3 linked regions of the Neodiprion lecontei genome follow. Each later gene encodes a partner of the first gene's protein in a complex. Links are inferred from orthologs where the notes say so. Each region holds a gene or a part of one and is shown on either strand. Other genes may lie near its edges.

Region 1 (7,693 bases):
TTTTCGATAAATTACATCGATGTGGAGCATGAATGAATTGATTAAATTGGTTCCCAAAATCCGCCAGAACTGGACTGAAGATGGCCGAACGGGTTAGCTTTGCATTTTTGAAATTCTCAGAACTCGGAAAGTTTTGGTCTCGGAATCGTTTTGTGGAACTCATCCCTAATTAATTGGACTTCCAGGAAGACAGAAAACGCACCAAAAAGAGCTTAGCACCAACAGCAGGGAGATGACAAAGGAAATCTTTCGTTTTTCCGCTATCACTTTTCATCCGTTGCTCGCAGCGCATTGGGACTGCGCCCAATCGATTCCTCTCGCAAAATTACGTCAGAATAATGCATGAAAGAATTTTTCGAAGCACTTTTCAAAATCGCGAAAATTTTCGCCCAAAATGCAAAGGGGTTAGCCTTACTTTTTTCTTCATTTTTAAAGCTGAAAATTTTTGGTCTCAGATTCGATTCATATGACCATTTCCTGACTAATTGGATCCCCAGGAACTCAGAAAACGCAGCGAAAAGAGCGTAGGACCAACAGCAGAGAAATGACGATGAAAATTCTTCGTTTTCCAGCTGTAACTTTTTATCCGTTGCTCGCAGCGCATTGGGACTGCGCCCAATCGATTCCTCTCGCAAAATTACGTCAGAATAGTGCATGAAAGAATTTTTCGAAGCACTTTTCAAAATCGCCAAAATTTTAGCCAAAAATGCAAAGGGGTTAGCCTTGCTTTTTTTTCATTTTTCAACCGAAAAATTTTTGGTCCCAGATTCGATTTAAATGACCCTTCTCTGACTAATTCGACCCCCAGGAACTCAGAAAACGCAGCGAAAACAGCGTGGGATCAACAGGAGAGAAGTTACGAAGGAAAAAGCACCTGCTGAAAAATGTCGAAAACACAGATTCTCGTTTTTCGGCTGTAACTTTTGATGCGTTGATCGCAGCGTATTGGGACTGCGCCCAATCGATTTCTCTCGCAAAATTACGTCGGAATGGTGCATGAAAGAATTTATTCCAGCACTTTTCAAAATCGTGAAAATTTTCGACAAAAATGCAAAGGGGTTAGCCTTACTTTTTTCTTCATTTTTGGAGCTGAAAATTTTTGGTCTCAGATTCGATTCATATGACCATTTCCTGACTAATTCGACGCCCAGGAACTCAGAAAACGCAGCGAAAAGAGCGTGGGACCAACAGCAGGGAAATGACGATGAAAATTCTTCGTTTTTCAGCTGTAACTTTTTATCCGTTGCTCGCAGCGCATTGGGACTGCGCCCAATCGATTCCTCTCGCAAAATTACGTCAGAGTAGTGCATGAAAGAATTTCTCCAAGCACTTCTCAAAATCGCGAAAATTTTCACCAAAAATCCAAAAGGGTCATTTATATTATCATGTCACCTATTAATATTCAGACTGCTGTATTCTATGTTAGTCACATATATTATAGGGGCTTTAATAAGCCTCATTTATTCGAGCAAAAAATATTCAGACTTCACTTCTCTACGCAGGGAATGGATCGTCGGAAAAAGAATTAGTATCTAAGGAAAAATGAGTTTTAATTGATATTAATGATCCATTTTCAACATTCAAGAAAAGAATGTTGAATGCGAAATTGACATGCGTCAAAAATTGTTTCTAATATTTGATGAATGTTGAAATCGTTACTTCCAGAGTAATTAGAACTTATAAAACAAAAGGATCTGAATTTGATGAAGAATGAGTTATCGATTGGCTTGTTGGAATTTGGAATAAAAGTGTTCCACGGAGAGGTGGAATAGATCTGCATACTTGTAGAGAACGCTAATGAAATAATGCATCGACTTGCTGTACAAATAGTTTGAATTTCTTTGCAAATTTTGGGCTATAGTCTTCAGTCTTGCTTCACCCGTTTTCAAAATCACGGATTTGTTGAAATAAATTTCTGGAGTCAAAGCATTTCGAGATTTTTCAAAATTTTAAATTGCATTGGTTGAGTCGTGGTTTGAGTAGTATTTAAAGTGCATGTTTCTGATGTTTCTCAGATTTCGCATATTTCTGCAAATAAAGATACGTTTTCGACATATCGGTGGTAATAGCTAACGTTGATAATTTTTATCAAAGATGAGCAATAGCTAAACAGAATAGAATAACTATATACAATTCAGCGTTGGTTTCAATCAAATCGATAAAACACATTAAGAAATCAACATGTTGGGATACATATACCATAAACTGGATCAAAATCGGAGGAGGCAACCCATAAAGGGTTCCTTGTTAGTGTCGAGTTGTGTCAGAAAGTTGACATAAAAGGAAAGCGACCTATATATTTCGGCAAAGTAGCGATAAAATAGTTTTCCTTACCTATTCTTTCCTGCATAAGGGGTTAGGTGGGTTTCAAAAGCTCAAAATAGGTACATTTTTATGAATTTTTTTTTATTTAGTCAACAGAATATTTCATTCCATCAATTTAACACACAAAAGATACATATTTTATAAGTAGTTTGTGAAATTTTCATTGAAAAATATTGAAAATTAAGGCGTGGACACGTCGTCTGCTATGACCCCTCAAAAAAAAGTTTTCTCGGCGTAGTCAGGATAACTCATGACAGATTCATCTGAAATGCATAAACCAAAAATTTTCCGTTAGTAGATGTTTAAAACTCGTGCTTGGACGAAGGAAAAAAAAAAACAAAAATTACATTTTTGGCGGCGTTGAAAACAAAAAACACTTATTTTGAGTAAAATTTGCACCCTTCATGGCCTTGAAAAATTACTTGGAATAGAGAAAAAAAAAATTCCTTCGTTCAAGCACGAGATAATGTTATTTTGAAGAAGTGTGCAAAATTTGAAAGAGATCGGTTCATAAGTTTTCGAGAAATCGTGACTACCGATTTCAAAAATGTAGTTTCGAGAAAAACGCGATTGAAGATTTCCAGAATAGTAGCCAATAATCGTACTTACACCGTATAATGATGCAAACCCACGTTTTTTCCACGTGCCATCACCTGACACGGTAACATCTGTCGTATCTTCAACATTATTTTCATTACACGTTAATTTTTTTTCTTGATTTGCAGCAGACAACCTCCATATACCTGCGTCACGCTTGGTTATAGCCTGATGGGTGAAACATCCAAAGGCTATATCTCTTAGAATATGACTCGGATCGTTTTAAAATTTTAAAGGAATATTCTCAACATATTCAATTATAAGATAAGCAAAAAAAAAAAAATTCGATTTTTTGAAATTTGGAAACCCACCTAACCCCTTAAAACTAATCTTTACAAGTTCACATGTAAGGGTGCGTTCCGAAACTAGCTGGCAGCACTAAAGGTTCCTAGGACAGAGGCAGAGCTAACCATGAATTCAATAGCGCAAAAGAGATAAACGATTAGTGGCAGCACTGAGCACTAATTTCGGAACGCACCCAAAGTTGTAGGGGGCATGGCGATTGGCAATGTCGATTAATAATTAATAAATAAAATTGGCGGCTGCGACGGTTGAATTCCAGATACTTAAAATATTGATTCTTGTTTTCTAACAGAGTACATACTTTTTGCTACACCTCAGAAAGGTGATTGCGGTTGATTAACGATACCAAGCTGAATTACCTTTGTATCTATAGGTTGAGTTGATATTTATTGGTATGTTGAATAGGTTATACTTATTCAGTTTTAGCGGGAAAAGTTAATTGTACACTATTGCACACTCTTGAGTCCTGTCGCGAAACTTTAGTCTGCAGCAACTGTTTTGTAATATTGTATTTGACATATACTGTAATATCGCAACTATTCAAAGTTTAATTTTATGTGCTCGTAATACTCTGAATCTCGTTTCCTGTTTTAAGTGGAAAATGGACTATGTAAAGAGAATATCACGCATCAAGCCCGAAGTCTCAAGTCTTAAGGAAACCTATCCACATGATCTACAATTATATTGTACACCACCTTCTGGTGATATTAGCTTGGCTGAGTTTCAAGAACTGGCACTCGAAAGATTAAAAGGTAATGATCAAGTTTTGAGCAAAGCAACCCTCATTCTGAGAATCTTATAAATTTATTTGGCTCAATGGGATGATAACTTCGTAGAACAAATTACTCAGATGTATTACGCAATGCTATATTGAAGTTGGTATTTTGGTCAAGGTTCAGGTTGACATGATAATACTATTCGTCGCCGCAGACAAAATATTAGATTCTGAGGCAAATATTATGTCTGTTGCAGTTCTGCGGATAGTTGAGTCTGTATATGTGCAAACTGATATAGAGTCAGATAAGCGTCTATCAACAGTATTGAGCGAATTGAGAGATGACAATAGTTTGTCATACTACGTTAAACTTCTTCAGGGCACTGGATGCGGTACTCACAGTGAATCAGATTTGAAAGCTAGAAGAAAGGATCATATTTCCCACTTCATATTACAGCTGGCATACTGTTCAAGTGATGAGTTGAAAAAATGGTTCATCAGTAGAGAAATTGAACTGTTCAAGTTAAGATACAGTAGCTTAAATTCTGAGGGTCTGCAGCAATTCTTAAAAATAAGTAGTATGAACTTTGTGCCTGTAAGTATGGACTGATTACATACCTAGGTTCATTTATCAAAGCTTAAACGTACGACGACAGTTCCCTAATGTATTTATTTCTGAAGTTTTGATTATTCCATCTATTACTGTGTTCCTTTCTATGCTTCAAATAACATCCGTTGATTGAAATTATTTTTTTTACTAGATATCACAGAATGAAAAAGAAGTAATCAAAGAATACCTCACTCAATCAACAGTTGGATACACAGATACTTATATAGAGGTTCACGATTTTTATAAGGTATCATTTTGTAAGGTGACCGATTTAGTCAGGAACAGAAGAGTTTACGTCCACTCCGGCTTTGCTTATATCCCTGACAAAGAGCTCATATCTGTATTTGTAACAGTTTTGAGGATGCAGTTAGCTTCAGCGTTGGCAGTAAGTACGAAAATATAGAAATTCTATGCGCAGCAAAATTATACAAATAACAGTATGACTATTTTTCTGTTTAGTACACCAAACGTGGAATGCCAATTTTAAATACAGATGACAGACTTTTCACTTTATTGAACAGTCTTCACAATACTTATACTGGTGACGACTTTACCATTTCAGATGGTGCAGCTGTTCCCATTGAAAGTTTAGATGCGGTAATAATATTTTATGCACATACCTACATATAATTACATATGTCCAATATAGTGTTTGACTGTGTAACCTTCAATTAATAAATTCACATAGATATTCACAATGAAAATGGTGTACGGATAGCACTTAAATAGTTGGAAAACATTTTTCTCAGCTTTCAAAGTCCTCGTATCCTCTTTGTATGAGGTTCATGCACGACGCACTGAGGGCGAAACATCATTTGAAACATGAAGGTCGGCAGCAGTATGGTCTATTCATCAAAGGAATTGGTGTGTTATACGAAGACGCAGTTCGTTTCTGGCGTGAAGAATTTTGTAAAAAAATGGAACCTGAGAAGTTTGAGAAGAACCACTTATACAATATAAAACACAACTATGGGAAGGCAGGGAAGCGAACAAATTACACCCCTTACGGTTGTCTGAAAATCATCCAGTCTAATGTTGGCCCTGAACAAATCCATGGTTGCGCATTCAAAGAGACGGACATAAAGATTCTCAAGCAAAAAATGTTGAGCTATGGTCTAAATTCAACTGGTATCGTAACTGTTTCCTTCTAGGATTTAATTCTGACTTGAACTTTACAGTTAGGCAATTTCGGTTGATAGCATCCTAATCAAATTATTTTGTCTTTCAGCTATTAACAATATAGCAGGATATGTTGAAAGTGGCCATTACCAAATAGCTTGTGGAAAGTATTTTGAGGCTGTGCACAAATGCCCACCACCACACGCGGTAATACATCCAAACGTCTACTTTAGAGACAGCCAAAGTGTACTGACAAATGGAAACTCATCAATTGGAACAGGTGTGTGACGAAAAATCATGTTTATAATTGCTTGACTTAGATATTGTGTTTAATTCCGAAAAATTATTTTTTTATTCCTCTTTATTCTTCTCTTTCAGGACAGTCAATGAATGGTGAAAAGAACGAAGGGAAACAAACAAAACCTGATCCAGTGATGGATGATGCAGATGACATGGATATTGTACTGAGTACGGCCGTATTATAATCATCAAGCGATATTTCTTATTAATATATATATATTATAATTATTTTTTTTTACAACAAATATAAATAGACATCTTTCAAAAATTATACGACCTTTCCAAAAAGTTCAACTAGTGTTCAACTAGTTTCTTTTTTCATGCAGCTGTTGCACTGTATGACTGGAACGCAAGGGAAGTTACACTAAGGACCACTTCGAAAGTTGAGTACTGGATTGGTTATACGTAGCTGTTGACTTGTTGCTGGGTATTTTTAAGTAGGAAGTTTTCGTTTACGTCTCTAATCATGGCAGAAACGAGACCCTTCATACCGTATTTGTGTTTCCATCCCCAATCGCGTCGTGCCTCGCTGTCGTCAAAGACTTGGGGCCAGGCATCGGCTAAAACATGATGCAGCATTCGTCATAAATAGTTTGCTTTCGCATCAATTCTATCGAAATGTCCCGAGGGTAATTCAGTCAGGGCAGTCATAAATTTAACTGTTCAAAATGAACCAAATTCGAAATGAAATGGAGGTAGGTGAAATTATTGCAAATAGCTTGAAATCACGATAGCGCTGAAGAAATCGCGTGACAAGAGTTGAAAGGAACGAAAATAAATATAAATCTTATGGTAAACGCTAGATGATTTTAATTGATTAACATCCTATCTGTTCTATCTTATTACGTGCTTTCGTTGTTTTTCAGTTTACCAAAGGATTTCCGATGATCCTCGAGTGTTCTAGATGATTTGTGATATCATTTGATTCTGTCCGAAGCGAAAATCACTGACAATCGGCCTAAAGCGCTCGGAAATCAATGAAAATCAATTAAAATCACTTGGTAAACTGGAAATCTACGAAAACCTGGAAAAAAATAATGATTTGGAATAATTCATCTGATTTCCAAGTGAATGGCCCCTAGACATGTCCTATGAAGCTTTGAAATGTGTCCGTTGATCATGGAACGGTTTTTCCCTGTCTAACTTACCGATGAGCTGCCGACTGTCTGGCTTATACGTGATTTGTAAATCAGGGATATAATTCTTCATCTCGGTGAAGAGTTCTTCCGGGGTAAAGCTCATTGCAGTCACATTGTAAACTCGTCTGCCTAATGCTTCGTTTGGTGCATTTAAGAACTGAAAAAGCGCGTTGAGACAGTCCTCGATATACATCATAGGCATCCTTGTATGCGGTTCAAGATAACATTCGTACTTTCCGTGACGCATACCCTCGTGAAAGACCGATATTGCATAATCTGAAAAGATTATCAGAGATCTCCGTATTAAATTGCATTCTGGTTGTAAATTGATGCTTATTCATCACGTCGCGATGCGATTCTTTGACCTATATTTATTCAAATTTTCCACTCAAATTTCAAACGCATTATACCTCATTAGAGTTTAACCGCAAAGTTTACTTGTACGCGGTCTAGTTGCTGAGAAAACGACTGGCAAGCTGCTGCTATACAACGGAATAAAAGCACTATTATGTATTTTATAACGAATTATTGTAAATCATAGATGAGCACTTGATTATGCATATGGATACCCGTTAGTATGTGGAT
Region 2 (7,484 bases), about 25 Mb from region 1:
CAAGTTGTCGGCTCATCACTGTCATCCCCGCAGTGATCGAACCCATCACAATTAAGTTGACTTGGTATGCATCTGTGGTTTTGACACAGAAAATCTGATCCCGTGAAACAATCTGTTAAAAATCGTACAAGCAACAATAAGGATGTAGATGTAAAAAAAGTAGACATATATATATATGTGAACAATTTATTTTTACCTGTGTAACTGAACGCAGAATACGCTATAGCGAGCCTAGAAGTGGGACCAAAAGTTCCTCTCAGGCTAACATGAAAGCCGCTTGCAACTGGGGCAATGTGCTCCCTTAATCTAGGAGGTTGTAACTGACTCGCAGGATGCCGAAGAATCTCCAAAGGAGAAAGTGCAGATGTGGGTCCTTGCTTAATTGTCAGTTCTGTGGTGCCAGCTGTAAATTTGAACAATTATATGGAATACGCAAAACTACGAATACGAAAAAATAGGGTTTACTTGGTTTTCTGTTTACACACCATTTTCAGCATGCAGAGAAAAGGCTTACCCATGTCAGCAAAGGTGACCACCTTCAAGTACATATGAGTTTTCATGTGGAGAAAATTTTTTGGAGGTCTGATCAACCAGACACAATCGTAGGTCTTCGCTCCTTGATTGACCATGTCCATCATTGTAATGGCTCCGCCCAAATTCTCAACGTACCCTCCGCAATCAGTGATGGGTTGTATTGACTTGTCGTATAAATGACCAATGACAAAGGAATAGAATGCTTTGTAGCCCAGACCAGTTCCTCCATTCGCATAAAATCTTATGAGAAGTGACGGTCCAGAGCTGACTATAACCGGTGGTCGAAATCTAGCACCGCTGCTAACATCCAGACGCTGTCCATTCCAGTCGTAAAACTATGGATTGAAATTGTAAACGTTAAACTCTTCAAGGATATGGCACTGAGAAATTATGATCAAATACCCTTTCTCACCTCAACGATAGAAACTGTAGCGAGTTGAAAATCACTAAAGAGTACCCTGACTCGACAAGAAGGAGCTTCTGCTGCACATGTTATTATGTATTCCATTCCTAAATCCCTCGGATAACGCGCCGGAAAAAATGGTGAAGTTAGTATACCACCACCAGTGTTGTTTAGTGTTTTTGCGACTCCGGTCACTATATCAGCACCTGTCAAGTGTAATCTATTCCCTGAAAGAATGACTTTGTTAAATTATAACAATGGGAGATAAACCTCTGAATTTATTGTAGATGAGTTATCGACTCACTCTCAGCTGTATATTCCATTGCAAAAGCATGCTTGTGTGATTTGCTGTACAACAAAGTGATAGATAATGTACGCGTGCTAGATCTGTACGTGAGAGGTGTGTACAAGCCGCAAAACGGTGTACCAGATACATCTTCGTATGGAGGTTCTGCGATCCAGACGTAATCGCACCTAATGAAATGAATTAAGATATTGGCGGCGATTGATTGTAAAGTTGGTGTTGTAACGTACCTGCAGGGGTTGTCTATCATCATACTTCCATCTCCACAGTGGTGAGACAGTTCGAGGTGTTTAAATGTCACGGTGATGATACAAGATGGACAAGAAACGAGTTCCAAACTGCACTGATTGTGTGAACTGTTGGTGACGTAAGCTCGTGATGTTTGTTGTCTGGGTGCATTTTTGACAAATGTAACATTCTTCGCATAAAGAATACCTCGCTCCCCGAGTTCCAAATAAAGTCGTCGCCCGTTGTTTTGCCCACAGATGTCTTGGTTTCGAACAAAGTTACTTGCACCGGTCGAAAGAATAGTGAATGCGCCGATGGCTGTGTTTAAATGAAATTGATGAACTTTTCATAACAATTGAGAGATAGTAGAGTATTAAATGGATTACTTTATCTTACATAGAAAACAATTTTTCTATAGCTGTCGCAACACAGATCAAAATCAACATTTAAATGAAATGGAATTGTTTGCGAGTAAGCATATTTATTTATTAAATATGCTTATTATATTTATTCAAGCTTGATAGTTACGAGAAATTTGATACGAAAAAAACCACTACTTTGCATAAATAAAAATTAATCTTACATACCGCAAAACAAATAAAACATATCCAGAAGAGCGAATCAGACAATCTGTCGGCTGGGAAGCCAGACATGATTCTGTTTAATTTTATTAGCCATACTGCAGAGTAACGTACATTGTATAATGGCTTATAAAGCTTCTATGGATTCTTTTACGCATAACTAAAATTCTCTTCAACAGCCACTTGGTTGTACACTTTAAAATAAACCTGGCTTCTTTGAAATAAATCAGTATTCATTATTGATTGTGAGCGGTTCAGATGCGTTTATAGTAATCTATTAAACTGTTGCGAAAGAGCAATTCAAAATCATTCATAAACGTATTAAACGTACTTATTTCTTTTATTTTTCATTTGTAAGCGAAACTTATTGATTACTTAAAATTAAAACACGAGTTTCATCTTATAGTTCACAGTTATTGGTTTGCATTACTAAAACTCCATCAACATATCTGCAACATAAAATGACATTTATACAATAATAATATATTATATCAGTCACAAAAGATACGAGAAAATAAAAAATTACCACTCTGCAAAATCTTCTGTCCTTTTGAAGCATCTTCCAAATTCCTTAAAAATTCTTGAAAAACATGAACAGATTTGTTCAAGCTAGTTTTTTTATAGTCCTTGATTTTTCTCCTAGTGTTTGATTCTTGGATAGAGTCTTCTTTGGCGTCGAATGCATTGATTTCCTCGATTAGCAAGTTTATCGTTGGTACAGTTAACGGGTTAAATTTACCAATAGCTTTTGGGCTAAACGGCACACTGACTTTACCCGATTTTGGATGAATACAGAACGGCGATTTCAAAAGATGGTTCATTCCCTTGGTCACGTTAATATCCAATCTCGGATACGCGTACTGGATCATTATTTCCTCCAGAAGATGATTCAGACGCCATTTTTTACCCTTTAAAGAAGATGAAAGTTGGAAATGAGTTTTTTTAATAACATCAAGAAAATTGAAGATACTACATTGTACAAAATGTAATCATCCTACCGTTTGTTTCTCGACTTGGTAGCAGGCAGTGAAGGCCTCCCAACGCTCAACACTAGATGTATGTTTTTTGAATAAATCCTTGACCTGGGATCTTAAACTATCGTCAAGAATAAGTGGTAAGAATTTGGCAACACCTTCTTCTGTTCCGAGCATATTCTGCTCCTCGACGCACATTGATACGAACAGTGGTTCTATAATATTTAGTGCACGTCTGTAAGATATAAAATGAATAAACATCTGATCTAACAGATTCTTGAATGCAAATCACAAATGGAAGAATCAAGAACTCATAAGCATCCAAAACGGATTACACGCTGACCTCACAGAATGGTGTAATTTTGGGCCAGGAAAGTTGACTTTCTTGGCTTTTAGTTCTCCACCAGTAATAAGCTGTAAGTATTCGGCAACGCAGCCGCGGGTCATCGAATTCAACTCGCGAGCTGATTTATCGCACACCCAGCAATGTATACCTCTTCTTCCAGAAAATACCCACAATAGATGCTCAAAGCCAAAATCCTCTGATATTAAATTTCAAGTTTTAGGTATTTATCACTTCAAGTTTCAAATCATTTTACATTAGTCATTGACAGTGCTTTACCTCTAAGTGCGGAGTCCAATATCTGGCAGGCAATCACCATGTACTTCCAGCATTTTGTACATATGTCGGCGCCTGAACAGCAGCTTCGAACATCGTCATAATCCGTCATATCTATATCAAAAACAAGTTCTCTTTCTACCGGCAGAAAACTTGAAAATTTCTTCTCATCTTTTGGGCTAAAGAGAAGTCGATCAATACATCGATTATTATTTCTACTGACGTAAAAAAAAAACAAATACTGGAAAATTCCGGATAAAAATAATGGAAGATTGAAGAATTTTTGGTTTTGGAATTATGAGACTGGAGAGCTTGAGTAAAAAACGAATCTGACAACGAGCAGGCATAATTTGAATTGTTGAATTTAAATAATAAGTAGACCAAGGTATTTCGGTTCTTACCATATATTGTATATCGCACCGATATCAATTTTAAACGGCAAGAGTCGTCTGCATTCCAGTTGTAGTTCATCTTGATTAACGAAGGAACGATATCGTATGTAGACGTCATCTCTTACGGTGAAAGAAAATTCTCTGCGTGAAAAGACGCTGGCTGAAAAGAAAAGGATGTACCGCCATTGATAAGACTTTGGATTAAAATTAAAAGAAAGACCAACAAATTTCCCTCCTACAGAAATAATAAGCCTGCGGCTAAAATTGACAAGTTAACTTACGATCACCGTAGCTCAGCCACCTGTAGTAGTCGTGAAACGGAAAAAGCCGCTGATAGTAAAGAGGCAAAAGATCTATCAGATTCTCTATTCCCTCGGTTGACATCCTTTTAGGTTAGGCGCGTTTATTGCACGGTCGTATCGAATCTTTTCTTCTGCATTCAATCAGCAGTTTACTCACGATATCATTCAATCACAGGACTGAAAATTAAACTCCGTCAAAATTCTTTCGCACGTTCACGAACACTGCCACAAATTAAATACACAACAGGATTACAAATGTTACAATGTGTACACGCAATTTGACAGAATTATTTTCGCGCCAATTCCTAGCAGGTTTTTCGACCTGAACGCGATCTGTCAATCACAATCTTAACTGTTACGAATTGTCGACTCGTAATTGGCTCGATTCAGATGAATGATCCATTTGCGCCAATCAGAGATCACAACTTTCGCCCTCAAAAGCAGCTGACTTTACCTTCATTAATCCCTGGCAGGCACATCCAACCGTTCATGTCAAATATCTCACATATTAAAATTATAATTGCTATCTATGGCCAAGTAACTGTTTTAAATTATCATAAAACAAAATATATTTATAATAGTACAGTGTATTTTAAGCTTACTTTCTTTACACAATGCGGATGCATCCACAGACGTAATTGGATAATAACTGCATATTTTGACAACAAGGTCACATTGTAGTACGACGTATTTATGTTTATACGTATTTTGGATATGAACAGTGCGTGTAATTCTATGAATAAAATATATCATATCACCAAAGCGTCGGTACTTTGCCATAAATCATTTCAATCGTAATTACACGTTTTTTACACCTTACCTCGTAAACTCAGGCTACATCAATTTCGCTAATCGTATTCGACTCCCTTCAAAAAAATGTCAAATTTTTTTGAGTACAGTATGGGTACGGCGATATTTTATAGGTCACGAATTAATATTTATACGTATTTATAAGTTTGATGCAGGAGTTGTTCAAAACAGCTTGTTTACATTTTCGGTAAAATAGCGATTCAATATTTTATTCAACACACCGAGATTCGCCGATAAACAGCAAATTAGGTGTGTTCTTCAATCACCTACCAGTCTAAATGCGACTTACCGAATTCATATTTCATTACTGCTGTCATTTATAATGCCCCTCGTCTCTCGTGAGTGGATTTTGAACGATGATTACAAATTTTACTCACATATAAAAGTTGACCCTAAGCTTTCGCGGCATGATGAAGTTGGGGCAAAATCAGATGGAACTCTCTGGTGGATACTGGAACGCAAAAATGGGTTGTCCTGTGTTTCTAAAATCAAAGAATACTTTCAAATTTGCACGTACGACCATGGTATGAAACTTGACACATGCATCAAAGACAAAGCAGTTACCCAAGGTTTAATCAAGTTTGTGACTTAACAAAATCACGTTCGATGCTTGGAAAGAAGAATTAAATATTTAATATTACTGCGCAATGAAGTTTTTGGTGGTAAAAACATTGTGCTTTCAAATACTATTTTGTCAAGTACACAGTTTAACCAAATCAGTGAGAGGTCAAACATTGATCGTGAAAAATTTGAACAATATATTGGAATTGTTTTTTGTCGATTTGTTGAAACACTATGTGGAAAAAAGCGAGCCTCGACATATAACAATTGTCGGAGCATCCGCCAATGATCGCAGTAAAGCTCAATCGCTGCTCAACTTTTATCCTTACATTATGTGTACAAATATGGAAAAATGTGCTTTCTTGGAAAGGTTCAGCGAAAGAACTCTTGTAATTGTATTTTTGAACAAATTCAGCGAAAAGAAGTTCCGAAAGAACGTCGATATTCTCTCACGGTGTCAAACATGCCACGTCCTCTTCGTATCCAGCACGATCATGCCGGTTAATAATATTCGGTCGATTTTCATCTGGGCTCATGAGCATAATATGCCATACACTGAATTCGCACAGCTCGCGAAGGACGTCGTTGAGCTCTACAGTCGTTTCGTGACCAAGAACTGTTCTACGGAAGCTCGATTAACCAGAGTTTGGAGACCCGGGATGGACTTGGGGCAGATGAACACCTGGGCCTTCAAATTGAACGACCTAAACGGGTGTCCAGTCTCCGTAAGCTCTTTGACGTTCACGCCAAAAATGATGATCAGAGAGAGCGAAAATGGTTCGTTGATCATTGTTGGCGGACGTGAAGGTAAGCTGCTCCTGACACTTGCCGACAAACTGAACTTCACCATAGCGTTGAGACATCCATCGATGGCTGATCGCATGAAGTACTCCCGAAAAGTAGCTATCATAAACGACGTTATTAATGGTACTACCGAAATTGGCATCGGCCGGTTGCGTCCGACGAACGAAATGCAGAACAAGATTGCAGTTTCTGCCGCGTACGACGACGAATGCATAACTTGGGGAGTTCCTCGTGTACTGAGTTGGAAGGACGACATCGTGTTCATGGAATTTTCCGGGACAGTGTGGGCTGCTGTTGGAGTGGCCTTCGTGGCCAGTTGGGTGCTTGGATACGTCCATCGGAACATCGTTTTATCTGAAAACGGTAAGCAATCATCGTCTCTCAATGAGGTGTCCAACAACATTTGTGGAGTCCAATAAAACCGACATCCTCGTTGACGCTCTCAAATGGCGTTTGGATTTCAGTTAAACGAAAGCACGTGGGATTCTTCAAGGTTTTATTCGACGCCCTGACACTCCACCTTGGGAATCCGATAAACCACGTATCCTTTTCAACGGGAGGAAGGTGCGTTTTGATCATCTATCTGTACTACGCAATGGTCATAACAACAGCGTATAAAGCGTCGTTGGCATCAATTTTAGCGACGGATGGAGGTTCCTCGGTGATCGTGGATGTCGATGGGATAATTAAGGCGAATCTCACCGTCATTGGTTCACTTTACGATTACAAAATTCTCAAGGATCAAGAAAACGACAGTGTAATAACCCAGCGACTCATCGAACGCTTTGTTGTAGACAATAACGATTCGGCAATTTGGGATCAACTCACGAGGGTCGATAACAACTATGCTTTCCTCGCGAGGAGATCGGCGTTGAATTGGTTCAGACAGACGATCGCCAAGACTCAAGAATCCGTAACTTTCGACGTGTTCAACAATTGCGTGTTGGCTTATCACCCGGTTGTCGCTTTGCA
Region 3 (7,631 bases), on another chromosome or scaffold:
AACCAAAATGGCCGTTGCGTAACGACGCCGAATGGCCGCCCGACTCCGGTAGCGGCGTTAATAAGCGGTTGCTTACAAATAGACTGCCCCAATAACATATTATTCCCCTTATCTCGGCGCAACCCCTTCCTCTCCTGCTTCTTCTTCTCCTCCTCCTCGAAACTCTGTACTCTGTTCTTCTCTCCTTCACCTAGACTCGTTACATACGTGTTTTCGTAGTCGGTCATGTCCCCCACCTCGTTCTTTCTTCATCTCACTCCCGCTTCGTGCCCAGTTCTGTCTCTGGTTTCTAATGTTGTTGCATAATTGCGCAGGCTTTGAAAATCGATAGAACAGCGCAGAAACTCCCGTAGCTTATTCCTGTACCCATCTACCTACCTACCTAGCTCGTCTATAGACAATTTCACTATATCTATACTCTCGTAACTCACTCTCTGTATCCCTGTTACCGGTAATTCGCTACGCATTATGGAATCAAATAATGCCCGAACATTTTGATGGTAAATTATTTACATCGAAATTATAAAAATCGATAAAAAAAAAAACCACGTCATCGTGTTCAATTATACGATAAGAATAATTGACACCTTTTTTTCTTTTCTTCTCCCATCTCGTTGAATTGTATCTACAAAACAAAAATACTACAACTCGCTTTGTGATCGATGGAAGTCTTAGAGTCTTTTATTTTATTTTTCCGCGTATATTACCGAAGCTCTTCTATTCAGCGATATTCGGTACATATATATAGCGAAGAAATGAAACTATTTACAATGTACTGTGCTGAGAGCTCTCAAATACGTTATTGGGTTCCATAATTATTTTCTCCTTCTAGATTCAATCGCAGAACTGAGTCTCAAAGTTTTTGCATCCAACTTGATACAATTTTACGTCTTCCATTTTATTCTCGTGAACGGTTTTCTGCCCACCATTAGATGATACTGCTAATAATCCTGCATATACCATGGAATGTACGAAAAGCCGGCAAAGAGTAACGAGCCGGACAGATTTGAAAAAAATCTTGCAGAAAATGATACTTTTCTTTTTTTTCAGTACGTGTTCAGTTTCGTGGTGATTATGATACGAAGGCATTGATCAAACGCAGTGCAGACGGCAAGTCCTTGCTTGTCTGGACTCCAATCCAACGAACTGACTGGTTGAGAAGAGAGCGTGCTGTTCTGGAGCAGAGATACTGAACCGACTACTCCCTGCTCTATGCCATCGGCGTCTGCTGTCACTCGCTTTTCAGGATATTGGCTGCGGCACACAAGAACAGAAATTTTACATTGTGAGTATAACATTCGACTAAAAATTTGTTAGGAAATTATGAACTTGAGTGAATGAAATTTATCTACTATTTCCAAAGGCATAGCGATCCTCCACCTCCCGACGTCATGAATATCTCTCGGTTCTGGGGCAGATGACGTACCAGCCATATAGTTGATTTATGCGCCTGAAATCAAGTCGGATTATGGCTTGTTGCAATGCTCTATAAAAGGGTAATAATTACTTTCTGGTTATTTTGACAAAATTACAAGCAAAACAACTGAACTGCAAATTACTTTTTCTGAAAGATAAGAGAATCCTTTTTTGGGATGTTGAGTTTTCAGGTCAAACAGGTAGAACTTGGATTCAAGAGTGGTGGCGACCAGTTTGTTCATCGCGATATCTTTTCTGTCAAACTCCAATCCACAAACTCCGTTCTTCAAGTTGCTCTCCCATCTGAGAGCCATCGCCTTTAGGTCAAACATCTTAACGTCGCCATTGTCATAGCCAGCCGCGACGACCCTTTCTTCAGAGTTGTACGAGTTGCCAAAAGTGACAACCCAGCAGTCCCTACGGTCTTCGCCCTCATTTGGTTCCATTACTGCAACTGGCCGCCCCTTTTGCCGCGGATCCCAGACTTTGACGCTGCCATCTCTGGAGCCGGTGACGATTTCAGGAGCCCCGCAACCTATCGTCTGCCCGCCGATGCCGTCAATGGAGTTTATGATCTCCTTGTGAGCATTTGCCGAATAAATAGGAATCGCAGGATCCTCCAGGTTGTAGATATTCAGTTTACCCTGAAAATGATCAATTGTTAATCGACAGCGAGTAAAGAGCTGGTAACAGCGGCTCAGATTCTTACCTTAAAGTCTCCGGCGGCCAAGTATCTCTCTCTCAAACTTGACGCTCCGAAGGTGCCGCACTTCATCGGATTAGAGCGCTCGATCTCTTTGATCAGCTTAAGCTCCCCGCTGGATATTTCGTATATTTGAAAAACGCCAGATCCTCGCGGCCTCGAACCCATTACGACGAACTTTGCGCTGCTTGGTATCCACTTAGCGTCGAACAAAGAATAGTTCACTGACTTTTCGATGTGACATATTATCTGCGGCTTGGATAGTTTATCCATTTTTAAATCATTCGATACGGACTTGGTTGCACTTTCAGCCGCGAAATTCTACCAGCCGATATCGACACGAGGAGACAGCCTTTTAAATGACTGCCAACACGCGATAAACAAATACCAACGCCTCCTATTAGCTGTATGCCTTATTTATCGCTTCTGCGATTTTCATCAAGTGGTAAGCACTTCGCAGTAATCTACCGATGGTCAAAGTCACATTTCTGTTGTACAATAATGTTCATGAAAGTTTTGGGCTTCTGGCTAACTTATTTGGGATTCGAAATATAAATCCGAGTTCTTTTCTATATGAATTATGTGACAATGACTCCCAATCTCTCTGGTACCTCCAGCACTGTCAGTCATTGTCATATAATACTTATAGAAACAAACTCGCATTTTGTTTCGGACCGAAAACAAGTTAGCCGGATTTCCAAAGCATTAATAAACATTACTGTACTATCGGAATGCCAAATCCTAATAGACCATTTCGGAGATGAGCGTATTCGCATGCATAATACTTCTCTGCTCCCAGGTCAGGAAAATTTGCTCAGCGATACGCGTCTTTATATTTTTCAATCAACGGCGTAGTGGAGAAGCACCGGATGTGACTAGTAGCCAATCAGAGCGTAAGGATAAGAAGAATAAGGAGTTTGAATCAGGAAAGTTTGAATACTTACAACGGTCGTTTCGCGTCGCCGACAATCACTTGTTTCTCTTCTTGTTGATACAATGCGCGTTGATTTTTCGGCAGATTTTTTATCGCTCAAATAGCAGTGTGATTGGTGTTTTTTACGATTGAATAATTAGCCTCGTGCACTTGCATGGTTAGCTTGTCCTTCTCAAGTCATGATGTAGAGGAGGGAAAAACAGAGACACCGATGGAGTGAGAGCGTGATATTGAGTGAGGTTATGTTCGTTATTCCAGAGACCTCGAGGTACGTAAATATATTTGGCGGGAAAACAGAGAGCAGTCGGTCAGAGTTCAGACAACAAGATGGTGTTGAAGGATGCTTTGAAGGAGCATTTCGCTGTCTTCGGAGTCGTCGTTAACGACGAGGCGACTCTCAATAAATGTGAGTATCGAAATCTCAGCATTCGCGTTCGTCATTCGCACGTAGAAGTTAAAATCCTGCAGGAGGAATTTCGATATCTGTCGAAACGCGTCTCGCTAATTTTGGGGGTTGGAAAAGAAACCGTACCGTTTTAGTAGACTGTTTTCTTTGGCCCTTCTACCGAAATCCGAAAAATTGATTTGGGAAAACTGATCACATGCACGATTACCTACATTTTGATAGCTAACAGTCTATTTTCTAATACATGGTTGATCCTCCGCAGGTCTCGATCTCTGCGATTTGTACAATTTAAACGAAGAAGCGCTGGTCGAAACATGGATGGCATTCAGCGTGTCACAGTGCCGAGGCGACAACCCAACTGTGGAGTATTTACTGCGGATGGAAAGAAACGAGTTGAAGAAAGACATGGGCTCCGCTGGTAATTCAAAGGCTGATGCCAAACTGTCGAAACTCGCCGTGTATAACTCTCACTCAATGAAACAGTACAAGTATCCTTTGCAAACAAATTGAGTTGAAATTCTTGCACGTAAACCTTGGAAACTCAATTCGCCAAACTGCCAGACCTGGTACAAATACTTTTCAAAATAACAAGCAGATTCCTTAACTTGGTCCCAGTGATGACGAAGATATTTTGGAGCTCTACGGTGCGAAAACCCCAACGACGCCAAGAGTGAGTAAAAACAACACATTTTTCCATAATAGTTGTAAGACATGAATTTTTCCATTGTTTTTATTGTGTTTTTATAAAAACGTGCATTGTATCTTTTATTGCAACAGTTTCCCAGAATTATTTATCTCGCTTTTGCAGCTTTTACGGGCCGATAAATGATTACTTAATTCTATTCAAGAAATCCCAAACAGCGGAGAATAGTCAAAAATTCTTTTCACCGCAGGTGGAAGATAATAATGTCAGGATATATTCTTAGAGTAGCGGAGCTAAAGGGGCAGAGGGAGGGGGGGGGGGGGGGGGGATATTTCCACAACCCATCATTATAAAGGCATTATCGAAAGTATGCGCCATCGTGTGATTCATTCCTGTATCTCCCCCTCATTGCAGGCTCTATCCTTTCCTCCATGTATTATGCCACGCAGGTATCATTTAGAGATCAAGATACTCGTTTTCGATCCTCAGTCGAGCAGGCAGATCACATACACGTTCTGTACACTACGAGTTTTGCTTTCTTGGCTGTTACTTTTTTCGTTTGTTTGCCGCGCAGGTTTTCAGCTCGCTGGTGATAGTTGCCTCAACTTTTTTAATCTTTTCATTTTTTGTTCATAATCTCTTCATTGGTTGGTTCCCAGGCAAAGAAGATCGATTTACATGCGTATGTGCGTGTCTCTACGTGTGTTGGAAATTGTGGTTTACTTTTTTCCCCATGATAATGGAAAGGAATCATCGTTTCGTACGGTTTTTTTTTTTCCATTCCACTTTTTCCCTCCGGCGAATTTTGGAAATATTTCGAATCTCCCAAGGTTCCTATCCGGCTTTGTGTCTGTCTCTTTTTCTCTCTTTCATTCCCCACTTTTCTCTCGTCTCTTTTCTACCTCTCCCCTTGTTCCGTGAAACCGCCTCTCCTCCCGATCCTGACGGCTAGCCGACCGATGCAGCCGGTGGTGGTAGAAGAGCAGGAACCGAGCAGAGCGTTAGGCAGTTTGATGAAAGCGCCGTTGCCAAGCTTACGTCAAGCGAACGCGCGCCGCTTCGTAATTTGACGAAAATTTCGAGCTGCAATATAATTTCATGAATACATGTTTTATCATCAGCAAAGATTTTCGCGCGTTGCAAATTATCGTAAAAAGACGTTTCAACCTTGTCGTTTGTTCGTTCCGTCCGCGTTCATTGAAATTCCATGATCAAATTCACGCGGCGCGATGTGTTCAACTATTTTTGTAAAATATAAATCCGCAATTTCATCGTAATAATAATAATAATAATAATAATAATAATAATAATAATAGTAATAATAATATTATTATTATGTGAGTCGTCAACGAGTCGGAGAATCAAGAGAATCTAAAACTGCAACGTTCGTTCAAACTTGCTTCGAAAATAACAAAGAACTCGTTCGAACAAGATCGTGGTGTAAAAAGACAGGAGTAGTAAAAAAAATTTTTTAAAACAAGATCAATTTACCTGGCAGCGAGAGGAAATTCCTCACTCGGGTATAATACATGCCTTGCCGCGGAAACGTTGGAGGTAACGGAATATCGAGCCGCCTGTTTGTCGGCCGCTCGGAGTACGCATCGTGAATTCTCGAATCAAAGTCCGGTTCGTTCCAACGGCTTTTCGGATTCGATTTTTTTCAAACCCGTCAGACAGAGAACGACACGTATATATATGAATCTCCAAGGAAATGCGGATTGGCATGTGTTCGTCTCTCGCTAAAACGCGCCGCGCTTCCGATCGGCGAAAAATGATTGTACATTATTAAAAGCACGCGATACGATTTACATCGTACCTGGTTTTCGCATTATTCTGGACCTGCGTAATTTCATACAACATTGTTTATCCAAACTCGCGATCTCTTTGTTTGTCTTTTTTGCCATGGGGAAATGAACCTACTCCAACCTTGATTTTGACGTCAATTTTTTTGATTCTCTAGTTGGAATATATTGTCGGATAATTTTTGGAAAGTTTGATTATCAATTCAGCCGATCTTTCTATTAGATGAACTTTACTCGATTCGTTGATTATGCAAATTGAAACAGACGATACCACGTTAATTCGTCGAGCTGTTAATTCCGCTCCTTTAGTATTCTACATTACGGCAGTCACAAGTGTTGTAATATCGTAAACGACTGCCGAAAGGTCCGAGCATCGTGGAAGAAAATTTCTTGAAATTTTCAGTACCGTCCAGTTTATAGGGTAATTCGCCGAGTTTTTATACTACAAAATCGGGGTCCGGGCTCTGGGACCTAACATTACGTCCCTGGGAAGCATACGGTGCTGTGCACGGTCAGCGACGTTTGAAAGATCGTGTGTTGGCAACACTGTCGCGCGTTCTTTGTGCCGGGACCGAGTTTCTGTAACCAGAGTCAGTGTGTGTCGGTGTCGGTGTTGGTTTCGAGAAGAGAGCAGCATCGAGTCAAGTTTATGGCCGTCGGCCGGCGCGTACGCGTCTCGTTCTCTTCCCGCGTCTCTCGGTCGAATTCGTGGTCCTTCCTCAGACCCTAATCTCGACTCCTTACTTTAAAAAACTTGAAACTTGTAATAACTCGACATTCAAATGTTTCAAGATCATCTATACAACTTGTAGTCACAGGTTAAAGTTGAACATTGAACAATATTGAATACCAAGTCGTTGTGTTTGTGTGCTTGATATTTGGAGTTCAGTAGAATCGATTCGAAAATCACTCTATCACTTCCTGTTATGAAACGTTAAATGAGCCTAATCACGAAATTTATACTGAAAAGATTAAGGAAAAGAAACTCCGACTACATAGTGTAACATAGATGGTCTTCTGAATTCAAGTTTTTAGACTTTAGTAGTAGAGTTGAGATTTTGGTGTAGGAAAATAACGGCTGTGAATTCGGTCGAGGATGAGGGCTACTGTCGTTTTTATATCACCGCACGAAACGCGACACCTCGAAAAAGAGGAGAGAGAAGAGAAGTCAAGTGGACAGTTCACGTTCACGTTCACGTTCTTGTTCTTCACGTGTCGCGTTGTCGTATCGCGTTCCCCGCGACGCATCGGGTTGTAATAACTCGGGAGAGTTGAAGACGAAGAGGAAGAACAACGAACAATAAAACAAGAATAAGAAGACGAAAAATCGATCGTGGATTCGTGTGTACGTGTCCTGTGTGGAGTGGAGAGTCTCGACGCCTAGTTCAGCAATTCGTCGTCGTCTTCTGACTCCTTGCGAAATTCTTCGGTTATAAAAAATCGATCTTGAAGCAAAAAAATCGAGCAGTATATAAAAAAGATCCCAAGTCTCGTTGATTGGTAAAAATGGATTGTCTTGCACCGCGCATTCGGGTCTTCCACATTTCTCGAAGTATCGAAAGATCGTGAAGTACGACGAAAATATGAGAGCGAGAGAAAGCGGGAGTCTCGACAATGTTTTTCCGATTTTCCGACGGATCGATCGCGGCGCAAACCTGCCGACCGGGAAGAGTGTAGTAGAGAGGAGCGAAAAGGCCCCGTTCGGCGAGGTTTCACCTCCGACAGGT

What was found. Proteins that work in one complex are often made in the same cells at the same time.
Region 2: DNA primase large subunit (region 1) and DNA primase small subunit share a complex: the UniProt entries of both Drosophila melanogaster proteins name them as parts of the alpha DNA polymerase complex. The link is inferred for Neodiprion lecontei from reciprocal best matches to the Drosophila melanogaster genes Prim2 and Prim1.
Region 3: DNA primase large subunit (region 1) and DNA polymerase alpha subunit B share a complex: the UniProt entries of both Drosophila melanogaster proteins name them as parts of the alpha DNA polymerase complex. The link is inferred for Neodiprion lecontei from reciprocal best matches to the Drosophila melanogaster genes Prim2 and PolA2.

What each region holds. Positions count from the first base shown.
Region 1 is NC_060261.1:14,009,557-14,017,249, reverse strand, and holds DNA primase large subunit, read left to right. Parts: upstream 1-3,439; 5' UTR 3,440-3,617; intron 3,618-3,820; 5' UTR 3,821-3,826; coding exon 3,827-3,977; intron 3,978-4,197; coding exon 4,198-4,535; intron 4,536-4,701; coding exon 4,702-4,935; intron 4,936-5,009; coding exon 5,010-5,147; intron 5,148-5,299; coding exon 5,300-5,678; intron 5,679-5,778; coding exon 5,779-5,949; intron 5,950-6,047; coding exon 6,048-6,154; 3' UTR 6,155-6,242; downstream 6,243-7,693. Other genes in the region: L-threonine 3-dehydrogenase, mitochondrial, read right to left, coding at 6,369-6,529, 7,118-7,384. UniProt on the Drosophila melanogaster protein: Regulatory subunit of the DNA primase complex and component of the DNA polymerase alpha complex (also known as the alpha DNA polymerase-primase complex) which play an essential role in the initiation of DNA synthesis.
Region 2 is NC_060261.1:38,829,092-38,836,575, forward strand, and holds DNA primase small subunit, read right to left. Parts: upstream 4,671-7,484; 5' UTR 4,420-4,670; coding exon 4,317-4,419; intron 4,196-4,316; coding exon 4,045-4,195; intron 3,823-4,044; coding exon 3,647-3,822; intron 3,567-3,646; coding exon 3,368-3,566; intron 3,260-3,367; coding exon 3,049-3,259; intron 2,959-3,048; coding exon 2,577-2,958; intron 2,500-2,576; coding exon 2,480-2,499; 3' UTR 2,377-2,479; downstream 1-2,376. Other genes in the region: uncharacterized protein LOC107219690, read right to left, coding at 1-403, 515-869, 947-1,164, 1,242-1,411, 1,472-1,787, 2,057-2,075; uncharacterized protein LOC124293032, read left to right, coding at 6,053-6,875, 6,977-7,484. UniProt on the Drosophila melanogaster protein: Catalytic subunit of the DNA primase complex and component of the DNA polymerase alpha complex (also known as the alpha DNA polymerase-primase complex) which play an essential role in the initiation of DNA synthesis.
Region 3 is NC_060266.1:1,915,339-1,922,969, reverse strand, and holds the start of DNA polymerase alpha subunit B, read left to right. Parts: upstream 1-2,755; 5' UTR 2,756-3,380; coding exon 3,381-3,459; intron 3,460-3,721; coding exon 3,722-3,947; intron 3,948-4,074; coding exon 4,075-4,129; intron 4,130-4,866; exon of another isoform or gene 4,867-5,185; intron 5,186-5,593; exon of another isoform or gene 5,594-7,117; intron 7,118-7,631. Other genes in the region: dynein axonemal assembly factor 10, read right to left, coding at 1,047-1,254, 1,353-1,450, 1,560-2,060, 2,126-2,392. UniProt on the Drosophila melanogaster protein: Accessory subunit of the DNA polymerase alpha complex (also known as the alpha DNA polymerase-primase complex) which plays an essential role in the initiation of DNA synthesis.